Linked DNA regions of Oryzias latipes. The protein of the gene in region 3 interacts with the protein of the main gene of each other region in a biochemical or structural test. Links are inferred from orthologs where the notes say so. Each region holds a gene or a part of one and is shown on either strand. Other genes may lie near its edges. The genes, in order: adrb1; beta-2 adrenergic receptor; membrane-associated guanylate kinase, WW and PDZ domain-containing protein 3.

The links.
Region 1: the proteins of membrane-associated guanylate kinase, WW and PDZ domain-containing protein 3 (region 3) and adrb1 interact in a test that uses a peptide from one of them, tested with the Homo sapiens proteins (2 studies listed by IntAct, with this or other methods). The link is inferred for Oryzias latipes from reciprocal best matches to the Homo sapiens genes MAGI3 and ADRB1.
Region 2: the proteins of membrane-associated guanylate kinase, WW and PDZ domain-containing protein 3 (region 3) and beta-2 adrenergic receptor form a complex in vitro, tested with the Homo sapiens proteins (2 studies listed by IntAct, with this or other methods). The link is inferred for Oryzias latipes from reciprocal best matches to the Homo sapiens genes MAGI3 and ADRB2.

What each region holds. Positions count from the first base shown.
Region 1 is NC_019877.2:5,428,157-5,434,212, reverse strand, and holds adrb1 (beta-1 adrenergic receptor), read right to left. Parts: upstream 3,908-6,056; 5' UTR 3,242-3,907; coding exon 2,051-3,241; 3' UTR 1,380-2,050; downstream 1-1,379. UniProt on the Homo sapiens protein: Beta-adrenergic receptors mediate the catecholamine-induced activation of adenylate cyclase through the action of G proteins. This receptor binds epinephrine and norepinephrine with approximately equal affinity.
Region 2 is NC_019868.2:20,752,278-20,758,559, reverse strand, and holds the start of beta-2 adrenergic receptor, read right to left. Parts: upstream 3,774-6,282; 5' UTR 3,601-3,773; intron 3,342-3,600; coding exon 2,094-3,341; 3' UTR 1-2,093. UniProt on the Homo sapiens protein: Beta-adrenergic receptors mediate the catecholamine-induced activation of adenylate cyclase through the action of G proteins. The beta-2-adrenergic receptor binds epinephrine with an approximately 30-fold greater affinity than it does norepinephrine.
Region 3 is NC_019865.2:23,163,368-23,168,984, reverse strand, and holds part of membrane-associated guanylate kinase, WW and PDZ domain-containing protein 3, read left to right. Parts: intron 1-628; coding exon 629-1,243; intron 1,244-2,486; coding exon 2,487-2,518; intron 2,519-3,838; coding exon 3,839-4,103; intron 4,104-4,774; coding exon 4,775-4,869; intron 4,870-5,617.

The DNA.
Region 1 (6,056 bases), on a different chromosome or scaffold from region 3:
TCCATGAGATGAAACCTAATTAGCTATTCATCATGTCTAAATTCAGGTCACACAGAGCCGGTCTAAATACAGCAGAAGGAAGAACTAACACAGAAATCGCTTCGAAATGTGGCAGCCACAACTGGACCAAAGGGACTGCTGCCCTTTAAGAAGGTTTGAGCAGGAATGCAGTTGAGAGGGAACACACGTCCCCTTAAAACACGCCAGTTCACCCACCTGGAACTGCAGCATTGTTACCAAATGACTTCTTTGTTTGCAGGAGCGCAAATTAGTCCATTAAAATTCCTGGCTTTTGAGTCTGTAATGCTGTGGAAAATCCTCCAAACGATGTAAAAAATGCTCAAGTTAACTGTGTGAGGTTGAAATGTAATGCTGCGTTTGATGGAGACTTGAGCAAACAAGCAGAGAATACTAAACCTTTCTTTTTCATTTCATGCAAAGATTTTAACTCATTATCTTTCAGTTCCGCCTAAAACCTTGCTGATAGTGATGCATTTTCCCCCACTTTTTGCACGTAGTGTGCAGAATATCCCAGAATTTACAGTCTGAACAAATTTCACAAGTATGCACAAAAGCATAGAACAAAATCAGCAAAATTAACATTAAATATCCTCTTGCAGAAAATGAACATGCCCCCCCCAAAGCCTTGTTAGTAATTAGGCTATTTAAAAAACTACATGATTAAATTACAATTTAAATTTTAAAATTCTCCTTAACTAAATAAAAAAAATCTTTATATAATAATTGATTTTTACAGAGTTGTTTTTTGTTTAAAGTGGCTCAAACTTGAAAACTTTAGAATTTTCTTTTAAAAATCGACAATTCTGAAGCAGAAACAACAAGAAAAAAGCAAGGTAGAGCTAAGAAATAATCAAAATCTTTTAAATCCAAAGTGTAAAATATGTAAATCAGCTGTTTGGATAGGATCAGGACTGAGTACATCAGGAGTCCTGGAGATAAAGTTAGACTGAGATGATTTGCATGTCCAGAGGAGACAGAAAGAGTCTAGAGCTGCCAGGCAAGAGGTCTAGAAGAAGACCAAGGAGGAGGTTTATGGATGCAGTGAACAAAGACGTAAAGGTAGCTGGTATTAAAGGTGAGGGTGCAGAAGACAGGGTTAGATGGAGAAAGCTGATTGGCTGTGGGAATCCCTGTAGGGAAAAGCCGAAAGGAAAAGAAGAAAAAGCTGTTTGCTAATTGATTGACCCTGATCCAGCAGTCCTAATCCACGCATTGAAAGCATCACCTGATGCCATATACATTTCAAATAAAATACCTCTTCTATTCTTACTTTGTAGCTGATGAAAAAGGAAAATATTCAAAAATATGTGGAGAAGTTTAGTGTCATTGCTCCCTGGAAGGAAATAAAAGCTCCAACATTTAAGAATGAAACCATCTTTTATTTTCACAGAAGCACCACCTCATAACAGCATTTAAAATAAGAGAGACAGACAGTCAGAGAGGCCCAGTTTCCTCCCTTTAGTGCTTAACACTTCATTATATACAATCACCTGTCCTTCATTTCCCAGCTGAAAAAGACAGAGTAAATGCAGAGCTATTTTACATCATGTTTAATATAAACAACAACATGTCATACAAATTGCACTTGTCTTTGCTGTGAGGTAAAACACATTGTAAGAGGAATTGAACACTTGGACAAAAGGTTTTTGCTCATGAAAAGTGCGCATCAGCCGCCATTTACAGATGAACTGTTGTACTTCGTTAAGGTGGAGCAATATTTTTTTTTCTCCCCTTCTCCAGAGAGGAGAGAAGAAAGTTATCCCACGGATTTATGATGAAACATTTTCTGCTTAGGTGTTCGTTCTTCCTCCATGAAAGGAAGATTTGCGTTTTAATTAGTCAAAGTGCAGATTTATATAAAATAAATCGTTATCCGTCGGCATTGTGAATTGATTCAGATGGGAAATTGCAATAAAAAAATTCTAGCTAATTTGGAGGATGACTTTTACGCACAGCTTTTGAGAAAGAAGGATCATCAAGTTATTTCTGTTTTGTTTTTGAGTTTCCCATAAGAGTGCATTAATCCACCTCACAGCTGGGATTCAGATCGCGGCAGCTTCGTCCCCACCAGGATGCTGTCGCTGCTGTCCAACACGGCGCAGTCGGACCACATCTCCAGCGTGCCAGGCTCCAGCGCTGACACGAACCCGCCGGAGCAGCGCGTCAGGTCGCAGGAGCTGATGTGCAGCCTGCGATCGGCTTGCCTCGGGCAGCACAGCAGCCTCTTAAAAGCCTTCCTGAAGTCCGGACTCCGGCAGTAAATAATTGGGTTAAAGGCAGAGTTCACGTAACCCAGCCAGTTCAGGAACACGAAGACGTTCTTGTCCACAAGCTCTGCGCAAAATACGCGCACAACGTTGACTATGAAGAAGGGCAGCCAGCACAGAGTGAACGTCCCCATGATGATTCCCAGAGTTTTCAGCGCCTTTTGCTCCCTGAGCGCCAAGATCTTTGAAGGTCTCTTCTTGCACTTGGAGGTCAGCCCTGTCAGGGTGTTGTGAAACCTGCCCTCACACTTGTCGATCTTTTTGAGCTGCTTTTTCGCTTCTCTGTACACGCGTGCGTAAACAAAAATCATCACCACGAGAGGAATGTAGAAGGAGATAACGGAGGAGGAGATGGCATATGCCCTGTTGGTGACAAAGTCGCAGCATTGGGGGTTTTCGTAGCAGTCCGTGTCCATGCTGTCGCGGGACCAGTGCATCAGGATGGGGAGGAAGGAGACCAGCGCAGAGATGGCCCACACCACACACACCACCGCTTTGGCCCGACTTTTGGTTAACAAGCTTTGGTAGCGGAAAGGTGAAGTGATGGCCACGTACCTGTCTATGGCGATTACGCACAGGGTCTCTATGCTGGCGGTGACGCAGAGGACATCCACAGAGGTCCAGATCTCACAGAAAAAAGAGCCGTAAAGCCACAAGCCGCGCACCTCGAGCACAGCGCCAAACGGCACAACAAGTAAGCCCATGATGAGATCTGCACTGGCCAGCGATACGATGAACACATTGGTGAGGGTCTGCAGCCTCTGCGTCCTGGCTATGGCCAAGATCACCAGGATATTCCCAAAAACAATGGACAGCACAATCAAAGCCATCACCAGACTCATGCCTGCTGTCCACTGCTCGGACGCGGCTGGAACGGTGCCCTGCCCGTTGGACGCCTCGGTTCCAGTGCCGTTGTGGGGGGTCACTGGAGAGGACGCGCCGCCGTCCCCCATGGCGCGTTGCTGCGCTGCGTTTGACAGCAGGGTGAGTTCATTCAGGCAGCGCGCAGCAGCCGTTTCCTTCTGCTGCGCTCGACAGAGACGCAGCTCCAATCCCAGCGCGCGCAAACTCCATCTGGAGCTGCTTTCTTCTTCTGCGCTTGATGCCCCCCCAGCGGGGACTGAAACACGGGTGACATCATCAATCAGTGCGACCAATCAGGCAGTCCAGTGGAACAAAGGTCCCAGTGGATCAGAGGAGGCAACATCAACTTCGGCCTCTTTTTTGTATCATATTTCTGAAAATAAAACACCCTAAAACGCACCACTTTATGTTTGTTACTTACTAACACAAACTGTCCCTGTTTCCTGAAAAAAAAAATTCCAGCACTGTGGGAACACCAGGCCAAAAGTGAAAATCCAGAGGGATTTTCCCGCTTTCATCACCCTCCATGGCAAACCAGATTTGTTGTTCCACATTTATATTTTTACCTCCAGAAATGCTTCCCTTGAGATCGACTCCCACCTTATCAGAAGCCATAAAGCTACGCTGGGTTTGACTGGCAGTCAGAATTCCCAGATTCCTTGTCGACAACCTCTCTTCTCCTTGTCCACGGGCTGAGTGGTTCAAATGAACATGAAGAGCTCCAGATGGGAACTGACTGAACGGCAAGCGTTTAAAGTTTAAACACCAAAGAAGAAGCTGGATTTATTTCTGGACCACTCCTCATGACCTCTGTGACCCCTCGTCTGAAGCTGAAACATGACATCAACCATGAAGCAGTCTTAACATCCCTCAAGTGACCCTAAGATAGACAGACTGGTTGTTTTTGAGAAAATAAACCTGGGAAAGCTTATTTTTATCATATTTAAAGTGACCTCATTGCTGGAAAAGTACTTTCAATCTAAATCCACATTCAGGAGTCATGGGTTAGACCCCTTAAGCTCAGGGGCCAATTAGAGGCTTTCCTTGTTCTTTTGGATTAGTTTCACCTCAAGTGAATGGTTGGTTGGGAATCATAAACTCTCAAATTCTTCATTCAGCTCCAATAATAAACACCAAAATATATTTCTGAGGACCATTTTAGAATTTTCCTATTTTGGTCCAAAGAGAAGCGGCAAACGCAGGACTCTGTTCACAGTCCTCTGTCCACAGTCCTCTGTCCTCAGTCCTCTTAAGACAAATAGTCTTACGTTGAAAGCTTGTTGGTTAATTTAGTCAGGTTTGACAGATGACATTCATAAACAGAGCTATATCATTTTATTTAAGACTAAAAAACCCCAGTTCACATGTGGAATAATTGCAAGAAAGACATTAAAAATTGAAAATATAAAAAAGTTTTTAAAACAATTGTAAAAGGGTGATATACGCAATAGAAATAAAGGAATAAATAAGATTCATTGATATTTACTTTCTTCCTGAAAACCTTCTCTGTTTGTTTTCAGTCTCAACCTTTTGTAATATGCAAAAAATACAGTTTGTATAAATATAAACTTTAGAGACTGAATTCAGATCAAATTATTATTTATTTTAATTATTAATTATTTATTAAAATGTAATAAATAAAAAGAATCAAAAAAAACTTTTAGAGTCTTTGGTATGACTCGGCCTGGATTTGAACTCACAACCTTCCAACTGAAAAAAAAGGGGACTTTTAATGTTCATCCAAATCCCTTTTTACAAACTTTAAATATTGTCAATCATTGTTAAATTTCTGTTTATGCTGTTTAGGTTTTGTTTTATCAGCTGAAAATAAATACATAAAAAACATGATAGAAATGGTTCTCCAGCTATTTATGGTCAAAAACAGTTGACGTTAACAACAATACTTTTTATTATATTTATTGCACGCTGATTGTAAATGAACAACCACCATTTCGATCTTTTATGACAAAATCTTTAAAACTATCCGAACCAGAAGCCTATTATTTCTTCAAGTTATTAACCCTTTTTCCGCCACTGTTGAGGAAAACCTGAGGCTCCAGAGTCTCAGGTTGCAGACCCTGTCTATGGGGGAAACCTTTTTGTTTTTGTAACTGTACTCATTCAATTGTAAGAGCTAATTAAAAAATAAAAATTTAAAATTCATAGAAACAGCCTTAAAATTTAGTGTATGGGGGTTAGATTTTGATTCCCACATGTTTTCTTGTAAAGAAGAAATATGAACTGTGCAAAGATCTAAGCCAGAACTTTTTCTGCCAATTCCTTAGAAAATTTCTCTAAACCTTCATGCAGACCAGTTGCACAACAAAAGCACTACTCGAGGAATGCTGTAAGGAGGGATTTACAGGCTGCTAGTAAGGCTGAGTGCAAATGAACTCAGTGAGCAAAGAGGTCCATGAAACTGGGTCTGTTATAGCATCTCCTTGAGTCATATCGTATTGTTTTAAAAACTGCTAACTTAAGGAGTTTTAGGCAAAATGCCGACGTCAGTGGTCTGGGTGGGATATGCTGGGTAAGGATGCTTGAGGTGCATTCAGGGACAAGGCCAAATCTCAGGGAAATCTCTGCAAAAACAGTGCAAGTGTGCAGCATTTTAACAGTAAGGGTGGAGAAAGGTGAGTGCAGCCTTGACAAATGCATACATATATACTGTTTTTTAAAGTCAGCAGTTCAAACAAGTGACCTACAAAAAAATTCCTTTGAAACTCCCAAACCAGCTTAAGGTGATTTTATACAATGCCAGAGGTGAAAGGGAGAACAACAAGAAGGTGATCTTATGGGAAGTGATGGCATCTGTGGAAAAAACAAACAAACACAGAGCTCCCATCAACAAACCCCCAGAGAACGTACTTGGAAACCCCTGTCCCCCATGAACGCTAGGACGCC
Region 2 (6,282 bases), on a different chromosome or scaffold from region 3:
TGCTGTACAGTGGAAATGTTAAAATAAAAGTCTAAAAGAAACATTTCCTATGACATTCAACCTTGTACATTTACTTTGCTGTAAATCCGCAAAGAAGAAAAACAGAAAAAGATCAGCACACTGGAAAGCTTGTTTTTCACATGGCAAACATTGACGTATGATGACACTGTGTTTACGTCGACTCCTAAGGTCTGTGATAACAGCGCTCACCAAACCGTGCGATACAGTACATAAGAGGTTTCCTCTGGAGGAACAAAGTTCACAGCTTTGAAAGTGTCAGCAAATCTAACCCCGGTCAGAGGCGATGCTACATGCACAAAAATACAAGTCACTAACACAGATTTAGCCTGGCAGAGTCCCTGGTCCCCCTCCTGTCTTAGGAGCTACATTTAGTGTTCAGTCCCTTTGACAAGATCATACTTCTGCCAAACTCACTAAGGAAAGGTGCTGCAGCTACATCAACACTTTCCTTTACTCTTAATAGGCTTGCAATCGTGCCCTTTGTGCTAAGTGCTTATTGTCCACGATAGTCTTCCTTGAAGTTTTAAAGTGAATGACAAGAAAGAAAATCATTTTAGGTTGGTCCTCTGGATCCCTTTTATGATGATTCTTCAGCTAAACAGGAGATGTGTTTGTGTTTATTGGATCAGGGCTCAGCTGCCTTTTCTCCAGGCTGCACATTAAGGGGCATTTAAATAAGACTGACCAAAACTGACTGAAACGACTGAAGCCGAGGCACGTTTTTGCAGGCTCCCGTGTCTCTTGTCCAAATGGCACAATGATTACACACACAAGAAAAGAGATAGCCAGATAAAAACAATGAGTGTACTGAATACAAGCTTTGGATTTTTTCTTTTTTCTGTCTGGTTGCTGACTTCACCGTTATGGCTTGGTGCTAGAACTTTGTCATTTGGCTGCATTCACACCCTGTTTATGATTACGTGTTGTCTGTACCCTTGCACTATGAGGAAACAGCTTCTCTGGTTGCGGTAAACTGTGCACATACTGAAACATGGCAACTGCAAAATCTGATAAACAAACAAGGCTCATGCAGCTATGGGTCAACTATGGTTCAAATTTGTCGCACAGAAGAAAAAGAATCGTCGTTCTCACTGTTATTTGTAACAAAAAAGTGGTTTTAGATTTGCAACAAGTGGAAAATAGACATAGTTCAGGTATATGTAACAAGCCAAAAGAAATGTTTGAATTTATGAAAACGGTGAGCATTTCAGCCCAAGTTTTATATTATTGCACTTAGCGTTCCTCCCAAAAATTATAGGTATTTTACGGTTCGTTATCTGATAAAACAAGCTTTGATGTTTTATGATGGCATTAACCCAACAGCTACAGGCGTTCCTTAGGCTCAGCATTAGGATCTAGATTAGCCAGCCATATCTCTTGTGCTTTCTGCTGACAACATAAACTCCTTTAAACACAGTCTTGCACAGTAGAGCAGGACTGAGACGTGTTTTGCCTCACGCGTAGCCAATATAGCTCCCTGAAAAAAAGATTACAACTTAATAGATTCCTCAAGTGTTGTCGGAATGTAATTTTTGATGCAAAGACCAAGACTGGTTCAAAAATCCATTCTTTGCATTGGAAGAAAAATCGCATGGAAAATCTCAAATACAGTTTTATACCATACAAAAAACTGTGGCTTCCCTCCTCAAGAAAGAGCAAAAAATAAATAAAGCATGCCCTAAGGTTTTGGATGAAGCCTTATAATCTGCAAATGTACTATTCACACGCCATTTATTAGGCTCAACACACAGCTGAGACATCGCTCTCGTTTAACTCCAAAGGTAAGAATGTAAGCCGGTAAAGAAACTAACACTGTAAAGCCGTTAGGGAGGTAGATGTAGTCATCATGTAATAAAAAAAATACATTACAATATGTAGTCACTATGTTTAACTTAAAAAAAATGTTCCTCAGCTTGATGTGATCGTTGCAGGTTCTCTGAAACACTTTTGAAACACTGCCAGCCACTTTGACTGGCCTTACCTTAATCAGCGATTGAGAGAAAAGCCCTAAATGTTCATAAGTGTATAGGCTTTCATCTTTCTCTGTTGACTGAAGGGTCGGTGGTCCGTGCTTAAAGGGCAGTTGTGACAGTCGTTATACCTTTGTTGCAGTTTCCATTGGGGTCTATGGCTCTGTCCACACCACTGCCCACCCCTGCACCTTTTATCAGACAAGCCTCATTGGCATCACTGTCCTCCGAGTTGCACTTGCTCCTCCCTTGCTGCTCACTCTGCCAGCTGTGCCTGCTGTAGATGTATCCATTTGTTTGGCCTTGGTGGCTCAGATGGTTCCTCCTGATGCACAGGAGTTCCTTGAAAGCGTACCTGAACTCAGGACTCCGGCAGTAAATGACAGGGTTGAACATAGAGTTTGAATAGCCTATCCAGTTCAGAATCATAAATACGCTATAGTTGTTCACGTTCCATATGGACGCGATTACATTAAGGATGAAGAATGGTAGCCAGCAAAGAGTAAAGGTCCCCATTATGATACCCAAAGTTTTCAGGGCTTTGTGTTCACGCAAGTAAAACTTTGCCTTCTTTTGTCCACGGCCATTCTTGTCCTCCGAAGAATCTACATGAAAGCGTCCAACGCTTTGGTTAATCTTTTTTAGCTGCCTTTTGGCCGCCAGGAAAACACGGCTGTAGACAAAAACCATGATGATCAAAGGGATGTAGAAGGAGATGATGGAGGAGGTGATTCCATATTGTATGTTTGTGTGAAACTGGCAGCAGTCTGTTTTATTAAGACATTTCTCAGCTTCCGATGTATTGGATCTCCACACGTTCATATGAATGGGCGGGTAGGATGTCAAAGCAGCAATCACCCATATAAAGATGACCACAATTCGAGCTCTGCACTTTGTCAATAGTGACTGGTAGCGGAAGGGTGCAGTAATGGCCACGTAACGGTCAATAGCGATGACACAAAGGGTCCCGATGCTTGCAGTCACGCAGAGGACATCTGTGGCAGTCCAGAAGTCGCACCAGAATTTACCAAAGTGCCATTTAACGAAGATGATGTTTAAAGCACCAAAGGGAACCACAATGAGACCCATGACCAGGTCTGCACACGCCAGAGATGTGACGAAGCAGTTGGTGACAGTTTGGAGACGCTGAAAGCGAGCGATTGCTGTTATGACCAGGATGTTTCCAAAGACAATGCACAGCACCAGAAAAGACATTCCGATGCCCATCAGGATCATAGCCGTCTCACTGTGGCCTGTCTCGTTGAGGCCCATCTCGTTGTGGCCCGTCTCGTTGTTGGACAATGACGTAGTGCTCACATTCGAGTAGACTGGAGAGACTGTAACTCCCATCTGAAGAAATCACATGCAGAAAATCATCAGACACAGTAAAAAGAGGGGAAGTGCACAATTCAAACATGTATCTAACTTATGGGAACTAAATAAATGCAGCAATAATAAAGTTTAAAACATGAATGTTTGTATCTGAAACAAAAAAACAAGCAAAGCAACAAAAGATTAAAAAAAACACAGCAGAGGCACCAGCCATAACGACCTTTTTGGCTCCATGCTTTAAAAACAAGTTGAGTCAAGAAAGAGCAAAAATACCAACCTCGACAGGTCGTTGTTTTGCTCCCAGCCTCCCATAAAAATGTCAGAATGTCAGTGTTGAAATACTTCCTGTAAGACTGGCAAGGCTCACATGCCCCTGTACTTTTTGTTCGGGTTGAGCTCCAGTTGTCTCTCTACCAAGTCGTTCCGTTGAGCAGTGTTTCCTCTGATGTGTCTCAGAGTCCTTATAGCATGCAATGGTGACATCACAGTCAGAGCTCAGCCAATCAGCGCACTAGCCTGTGGAGGGTGCTGAGCGCTCACAGGAGTTTGAACACACTGTCCCAACAGCTGCTGCTGCAGGGCTGCATGAGACATACGGCAGCCAACACAGGCAAACATTTACATATTTAAAAAACCTGCAAATTTGTACTGAAATCTACGAGCTGTATTTCAGCTCGAGTCATAAAGTCTACTTCCTGTTATGCTATGTTCCTGTATGAGTTTACAGCTTCATGCTTGTGAATCTGTATCCAATTAAAACTAGTTAAAGCATTTTTTGAGCATTTGTAAGATCAGGCTGGATTCACAAGTGATCCAACTGGCAAGTGTAGCTCAGTGAATTTTGTCAAGATCTATTGAGTGGTTGGATTGGAGCTTTAACACACTTCTTGTCCTGACAAAACCTTTGAGTTTTGTAGGCTGCTCTTTTATATAAAAATCAGGACCTTCGCCAATACAAGAACATATGCTTACATTTTAACATCCAAAGGTCAAACTGTAAAAATGACCTCAGTGTTTTGGTACGTAAAAGGCGCAGTGATCTTCACAGCAAGAGCTAAAAGAAAGCCTTTGAGGATCAAGAACAAATTTGCACTTTTATGACCACATTTATTCCATACATGTGATCTATGCAAACTAAACCTCATTTATTCAAATTTCAACAATGCAATGATAGTTCTGCTTGGTTTGTGAATGCGTAAAAACACTTCACGGAAAGTCTTCAATGCTTATTGAATTCTTTTAAGTTAATATATCTCTTTTTAAAAATGATTCTGTAATAAAATGATCCAATACCCTCAATCCTAACCCTTTAACCTAATCTTTTGTGACACTTTTGTACTTCAGCCTTTTTTTAAAGTATTTTTTCTCGAAGGTGTATTAAATGTGCAAGTATCAATAAACGTGCACATTTTATTTATCCTTTTAGGTTACAGGTCTTAAAAGGTTTACAAACTACAGAAAAAGAAAACAACAAAGATTTTTGCAAATGTTTGAGACTGTTGTAATGTGTTTTTTACCGCTGATTTTTTGCTTAAAGATCACAAAGATTTTTGCTCAATTGCGCAAAATCTTGAATTGCATAATTTTCTTCTACGCACATTAGATAGATTAGAGCGTACGTGGTTTGGAAAAAATCCAAAGACAGTTCCACTCCTGAGATTAAATAGAGGATGCTTGACGTTTTTTGGATTATATACCTGCATTAACACCAACCATAGAAACCAAAACCTGGTGTTTCGTGGTGGATTTTCAAGGCATGACAAGATTAAAGATAAGAGATGCCATATGTCTGAGCCCTCATTTAGAAGAAATCCTTCATGGGAATACACTTTGACATTTATCAAGGTGTTTCATCTTTTTACAGTCACAAGGTGAACAATGAGATGACGTAAATGTGTGACCTAAATTACCATTGGCAAAGTGACCATTCTTATGGCATGGTCATCTTGCCTGTTTGTTAGTATATAGAAGAAATAAAGGAGCACTGTTATTTATTGGGTCAGGCTGAAATTCAGGCCATGTTCAGGATGCAAAACAAATCCACATTTGCACATCTCTTTCAACAAAATAAAAAAAATGTAGATCATTTGGTATTTTCAAAACTGCTTTTCTTTAAAGATTTGGTAAAAAAGGGCAACCTGCAGTTTTTTTGTTGATGTCATCATGAAATGAGTTATAACCATTGACTGTAAAAGAAAACTGCACCGGGCCAGTGTGACGTCATTCCTAGTAAATGGCTTACTTCGGCTCCAACCAAATGAAGTCACCATTTTTTTGCAAAACGAGACAACGTCAATAAGCAGCAATGGGTCCAAGTATGTCTGAATCATTGTTTCTATGGCAACCACTCTCATCAATCAGGACTAAACTTGCTGGAAGTCCAAAAGTAAACTTTGGGAGAATCTGTCAAACATTTTTAAATGTTCAATGTGGGGGCCAGAAGGCACTGCATACATTAATTGAAGCATCTGATTGGACAGTTTTTAACATGTACAACTTGCAATAAAGAAAAGGTTTCATGAAAAAAAAAACGGATTTGCAAAAATGTGTAAAAAAAAAGTTTTCAAAGAAAAATGATTATTTTGTCATATATAATAACTGTATGAAATCTGTTCATTTTGCAATAAAAGTCTGGAATTCTGGCTTCTTGAAACCAGTGGGTAATTCCTGTTTGGAAACTGAGGAGGGAGGAGTCTGATTTGAGCAGAGACCAGCTAGGGCAACATAAAGCAGAGGGATGAGAGCTGACTTGCTGTTCTCCATGTTGGCCACATGTTCAAAGGACTAAATAACTAAGCAGGTTTTCTTCCAATTGGACAATAGTTAGCAGCCTTATTTACATGGACTAAGTAAAGTGAGAGCTACTCTCCATCCACTGGAACAAAGGATAACCATTTAAAACTAATACAGCAATAGTATAGCTGCTCAAAAGTAGACGCTGCCTCAATGTAGTTGCCCT
Region 3 (5,617 bases):
TGAGAAAATCTAAAGGAATCAACGACCATCACTTCCACATGCAAAAGAACCGGTGAGTTTCTACTGCGTGGATCCGATTTCTGTCTTTTGTGGGTTGGACATGATAACCCCACGATTCTGGTTGCACTGATGCCTGGGAGCCCCAGCGCCGCAGCTGGCAAGAGTCGGCGTGAAATCGGAACAGAGAGAGTAATTATTTTTAATGTTTAACTCTCCCTGGAGAAGGAGGGTAATTGACTGTGCCAAAAAGATGAATGTAATTAGTTTCATTGGGTTTTAACAACGAGCAGTAGCCTGGAACTGCTTTTTCTGCCACATCAGGGTTTATTCCTGCCAACACTGAACTGCCTCAACAATCTGGAGATATATGCTACAGTTGCCATTTTGGGGGTTGTTAGATGAGGCATCGGGGTACGTTTGGGTGGGAGCCAGTGCATTTTTTTAAGGAGTTGAGCGGAAGAGAGAAACCGTGGCTGTGTTTTCTGAGAAGGGTATTGATTGTGTCGGCGGGTCGGAATAATCTTTTTCCGATCGTCCATATACCACGCAATTCAACCAACCAGGGGTGCAACGCTCTACCCTTATGGAGGGGAGATGCTCTTGTTTACATTCTGTCCTTTTCCGTTAGGTGATGTGATTGTGGAGATTAACGAGGCCTGCGTGTTGGGGAAGACTCACGCCGACGTGGTGCAGATGTTTCAGTCCATCCCAGTCAACCAGTACGTGGACATGGTCCTGTGCCGGGGCTACCCACTGCCCGAGGACTCCGGCAGTAACGAGGAGTCAGCAGGTGGCGCCGCGTCTTCCACGGACACCTCTCTGCCTCCGTCCACCTCCACTCCGCAGGATCCCCACTACACGATCCCAGACGGGGCGAATGTCTCTCGGCAGGTTGCCTCTGTGCCGCCCATCAGCAACGGACGTCTCAACCAACCTCACCCCGTCCATCAACACCTCCCTCAAGCCCAAGACGCTCCTGACCCGACTCTTTTGCAGCCAGAGCTAGTGAGCGTTCCGCTGGTGAAAGGTCCAGGGGGCTTTGGCTTCGCCATCGCAGACTGCCCCCTCGGACAGAAGGTGAAGATGATCCTGGATGCACAGTGGTGCCGCGGCCTGTTGAAGGGCGACGTCATCAAGGAAATCAACAGACAAAATGTTCAAACCTTGAGTCATTCCCAGGTGGTGGACATCCTGAAAGACCTAGCCGTGGGCAGCGAGGTCAGCGTGTTGGTGCTCAGAGGAGGTGAGGGATCCCAGGTCACACTGCTGCTGCAAATAATCCCCAACTAATCTTCAGAGCATCTGACAGGTGGTGAATGTTGAGTCCTGGTGTTCTGGCGTGTTGTTTAAACAATGCCATCTCTGATAATCTACCGACTTTTCTGGGATAATCGGTTTTATTCCTGTGCGGCGCAATCCTTTAAATCCCCGCCGAGGTTTTAGTCACCTGTCGTCATTTTCTTGTTTATCAAAAGCCTCCAGAGAAGGAGAAAATGCATTTCGGTGGAATTCTGTTCTCATTGTCGGGGTGCACAAACTCCTCCAATGCTAAATAAATCTTATTTTACATCCTGCTTTTGTCCACCTCCACATCCTCCACAACTGGGAGGACTCGCACGTTGATCCGTGCACAGAAGGTGGAAAAAAAGGTTGCAATTCACTTGCTGCCGTTAAAAAAAAAAAGAGAAGGAAGGAGGGCAGGGGAGGCAGAGCGTGGTGGGTTATCGCCGCCTGCCTTTCTTCCTCTGTGCTTTCAGAGATTTGAAGAGCTTGTTCCTTCTTTTGACTTTGCTGCAGTGCAGTAGCCTAGATTCAGGAGATCAGTGCTGTACCCACATATCAAAGGTAGTGATCCGGCTTCTCCGCTTAACTCCGGGGGCCTCGGCTTTTGCTGTATGTGGCGGCCCCCGATTGGTCACACGTATGCTGATTGAGCGTGTCACTTCCGAAAAGAAAAGCAGAGGTTTTCCAGGGCTAAAAGAGAAAACCACACTGGAGATCTTTCTGAAAGTTTCCTACAGGCTGAGATTAGGGGTATGACGTATGTACCGCTGCCTTGTGGGTCTAAAATATAGCAGGCAGTGAAGTCTTGTGGCCTTTAATGCAGATTTAAAAGTGTCTTCTTTCTGTTGTTGGGGCTGCAAACAGCTGTCAGGTTAATCCCAGAAAATTGTATGTTTTCCAGCACCTTAAGGTTACTCCTGTCTCTCATCTTCTAATTACATCTTTGGTAGTGGACATAAGAGCATACTGCCCTCTGCTGGTGGACTTAAACCCTTTTTCTAAATTATTTGTGCAATTTCCCCTCAAAAGTAACAGTTTTGTACTACTTTCTCCCCAGAAGCATTAATACTGCTATGTGTGCACTATATTTTCTAAATATAAAAAAAAACTCAATAGTACTAATGTTTTATTTGTTGTTGTTTTATTGGGGCAATATTCATGTTTTTGTTGATAAAAACCCTCACTTTCTCCTCTGTTTACAGGTCAGACATCTCCTGTGAAATCACTAAAACCTGTAAGTTAAACTTTCATCTCTCAGAATAGATTTTTAGATTTTTTTCTTCAGATATGGTTTTGTGTTTTAAAAATATGTTTTTGCACAAAACGGTTTCTCTGGAACGTCATGACTCAGTGTTTTTTATTGAAGTGTTTGTTTTGACTTTGTTTTAAGGTACAGGTAGAACAGTGTAAAAACCAAACAAATCGCACATTTAGCACAAATGTGCAAAGCCAACATTATTTTTTATGTTTTGAAGCACCCTTTTGACCAAAAATGTCCTCATTTAGCCCTTGTGCTATCCTAGGCACTTTAACATTGGCAGTTGGGTCATCTAGACCCACTAGACAGTGCTCTGAACCTTTTTTCTTCAATGATTTGTGATCTTCACTGGTGTCCATGGATTACATGAAATCTTTCCACCTTTATCCACCTTTGTCATGGTAGGAAGAACACGTCAATGCAAGGGTGGGATCATAGGAAAGCACAAGGGTTAAGGGTTTACTGCAAATTTTTATATGATGAAAGATATACTATGTTAAGAAGCACAAAAACAGCTGCCTGGAGAAAATAAACTGTATCCACTGCAGTCCTGTGTAAATAACAAACCTCCTAGGAAACTTGATGGATCCACTCTCACTTCTCCTAAGCAGTACGGTGGGGACATTTACGAATTTCACTACAGCCAATCCAGCCAGCTGTGTGTAGCTCTACTGCCCCCATGTGGCCTGTTTAGCTTCTAGGACTTTCTGATATCTGCTCAAAGTGCCCTTTAAAAAAAAAAAAGCCAAACAAAGCCGAGGTCATTTTATAACAAAACTGAGGAGAAACTGCAGTAAAAACTCAGACAACAATTTTGGATTTAGACAGTTTGTCCAAAACGTAGCAAGAAAAGAACATGAAAAAAGAGAATGCTGATGTTTCTTTTCTAAAGGTTTGTGTGGGATCGCGGCTTTCTCTGTGTTTGAGCAGCTGCATTACTCAGGGAGCCCACGTCTACCAGATTGTTATTTTAGGCAGTGCATGTGGGTAAACATGTTGGCTTTGTGCAGGCAGCACCTTAAGGTCCCTCTGCGTTTGCTGTGTAAGATGATACGCCGCATTCAAGAGTCCCCGTGCTGCTTCTCATTACCGCGCTTAGAAAAACATAAAAACGAGCTGGGGCAGGAACAGAAACAGCCTCGGCTTTGTTTGCGTCGGCCTGCTATTTTCAGTGAATTTAAATGTGCCTTAAAAAATGCTCCATCGACCACCTTGCAGTTAAGGAAAAAAGCTGAAATAACAGATAACTCCCGTCCACCTGGGCTCATTCGTTTTCCGCCTGTTTCCGTGCTGCAGGTCACAGCGCCCGTGTCCCACACCGTTTCGCAGCCTGTCCTTGAACAAGCGCCGCTTCCTGTTCCCCAGCAGCTACCCCACCCACCCTCACACCACCACCTCCAGCAGCAGCAGCAGGAGATGATCAGCAGCACTGAGACCCTCACTCAGTCCGACGTGACTCCCAACTCTCTCCCCGTCTCCAGCGGCACCTTGCGCTCATCTTCGCCCAAACCAGACGCCTCCGAGCTCTACCTCAGGTCCAAAGCCATCCTGGACAGCAAGCGTAAGTCAAAACTTTCACTTTTAACAGCTTCCTTTGACGGGATCTGAGCCCAAACTCCAGACATTTCTGAAACAGTGATCAGAATTATAGATCTACTTTCAGTAGTCCCTGTCTTGTATTTATACGAGGTTCAGTTTCATGTTAATTTAAAACTGAAACCAGTTAAGTGTTTCAACATAAGTACAAGAAAACCAACATACCCGATAAACCAATGGAAAACATAGGATTTCTTTTTAAGTGAATGTTTTTTGTTTTAAATCCATACTTAAACACTGCAGAAGCTCTTTAAAGGAATCAAACTACAAGCAGTAAAGTTCAGGATACACACAGATGGGAGAGGAGGACCAACACAAAACAAAAAGACAGAAACTAAACAACAGGAAACCCTCATGATCTAGACGCCGTGACCTTGAAGATGTCATAACCTTAAAGAAGATTTGGAGCTACGTGTATATTATGTGGAAGATAATTCCAGTTTTAGCGTAAAGTTTTACTCAGACCTGTTCACTCTGGTGAAGGTCACAGAGGTCACAGCTTTAGGACTGCTGGCCCTGACTGAGTGGAGGGTGGCGTATCAACAAGATATCTCATAACTCCCACCTTAAATAAAATGACACCGTCAAATATTTATACTTTTGTATTCATTTAAACTCTTTTCTTGCTTTTTGCAGCACCAAACACAAAAGAGCTGGATGTGTTTATAAAAAGGAACCAGGAGTCTGGTTTCGGCTTCAGGGTTCTGGGAGGCGAGGGCCCGGATCAGCCTGTGAGTGTTTTCACCTGCAGTGCCCGTTTCTCTGATATTTCAGACTATTGGGTTTGAGATGTTTTGAAGCTTTCACAGTACTGTTTGGTCCACACGTGAGTTTGTTTGCTTTGATCGTTTGTGACGAGTGTGAAAGCTCTTCTGAAATGGACCAAACAAGCCACGAAGGATTTGCTAGCTTGCAAATGAACCCTGGTGCGGCTCAGCTACAGTGTGAATGCTGACAGAATAGTTGACAAACCAAAGAAAGTGAAATCAATGACTGAACACTATTCAGTTAGGAGTGCAAAAAAACAAATATAAAAAGCCACATTTGGGAAAAGTTTCAACAGTTATTGCAGTGAAAGCAGTCATCTATAATAAATGGTCAGAAGACTAGCTAGTTGTGTTCTTTAATGCTACCACTTACCCTGAACGTGGACTGGGTTTTAATATTAAGTCAAAGTACAGACACAATAAGACTTCCTGTGGTGCATTTTGAGCAGGAAAGGCGGTACAACTCTCTAATGGCATCCACGTTTTGGGCGGGGCAGCATTTCCGCCTTACTTTTAGCATCACGTTTTGGTAGCACGGTGCAGTTTTGACATGCGTCAATATTTTCTGTGAGCGGTGCATTGTCGTTTCCAAAGTTCAAACATCTGACCTTTAGCAAAGCATCACCTCGTGTTACCGCCGATTTTGTAGAACTTTTTAAAATAATCAACCCAAACTGCCCTTATACCCATTAAGTAAAGAGTTCAAGGTTTT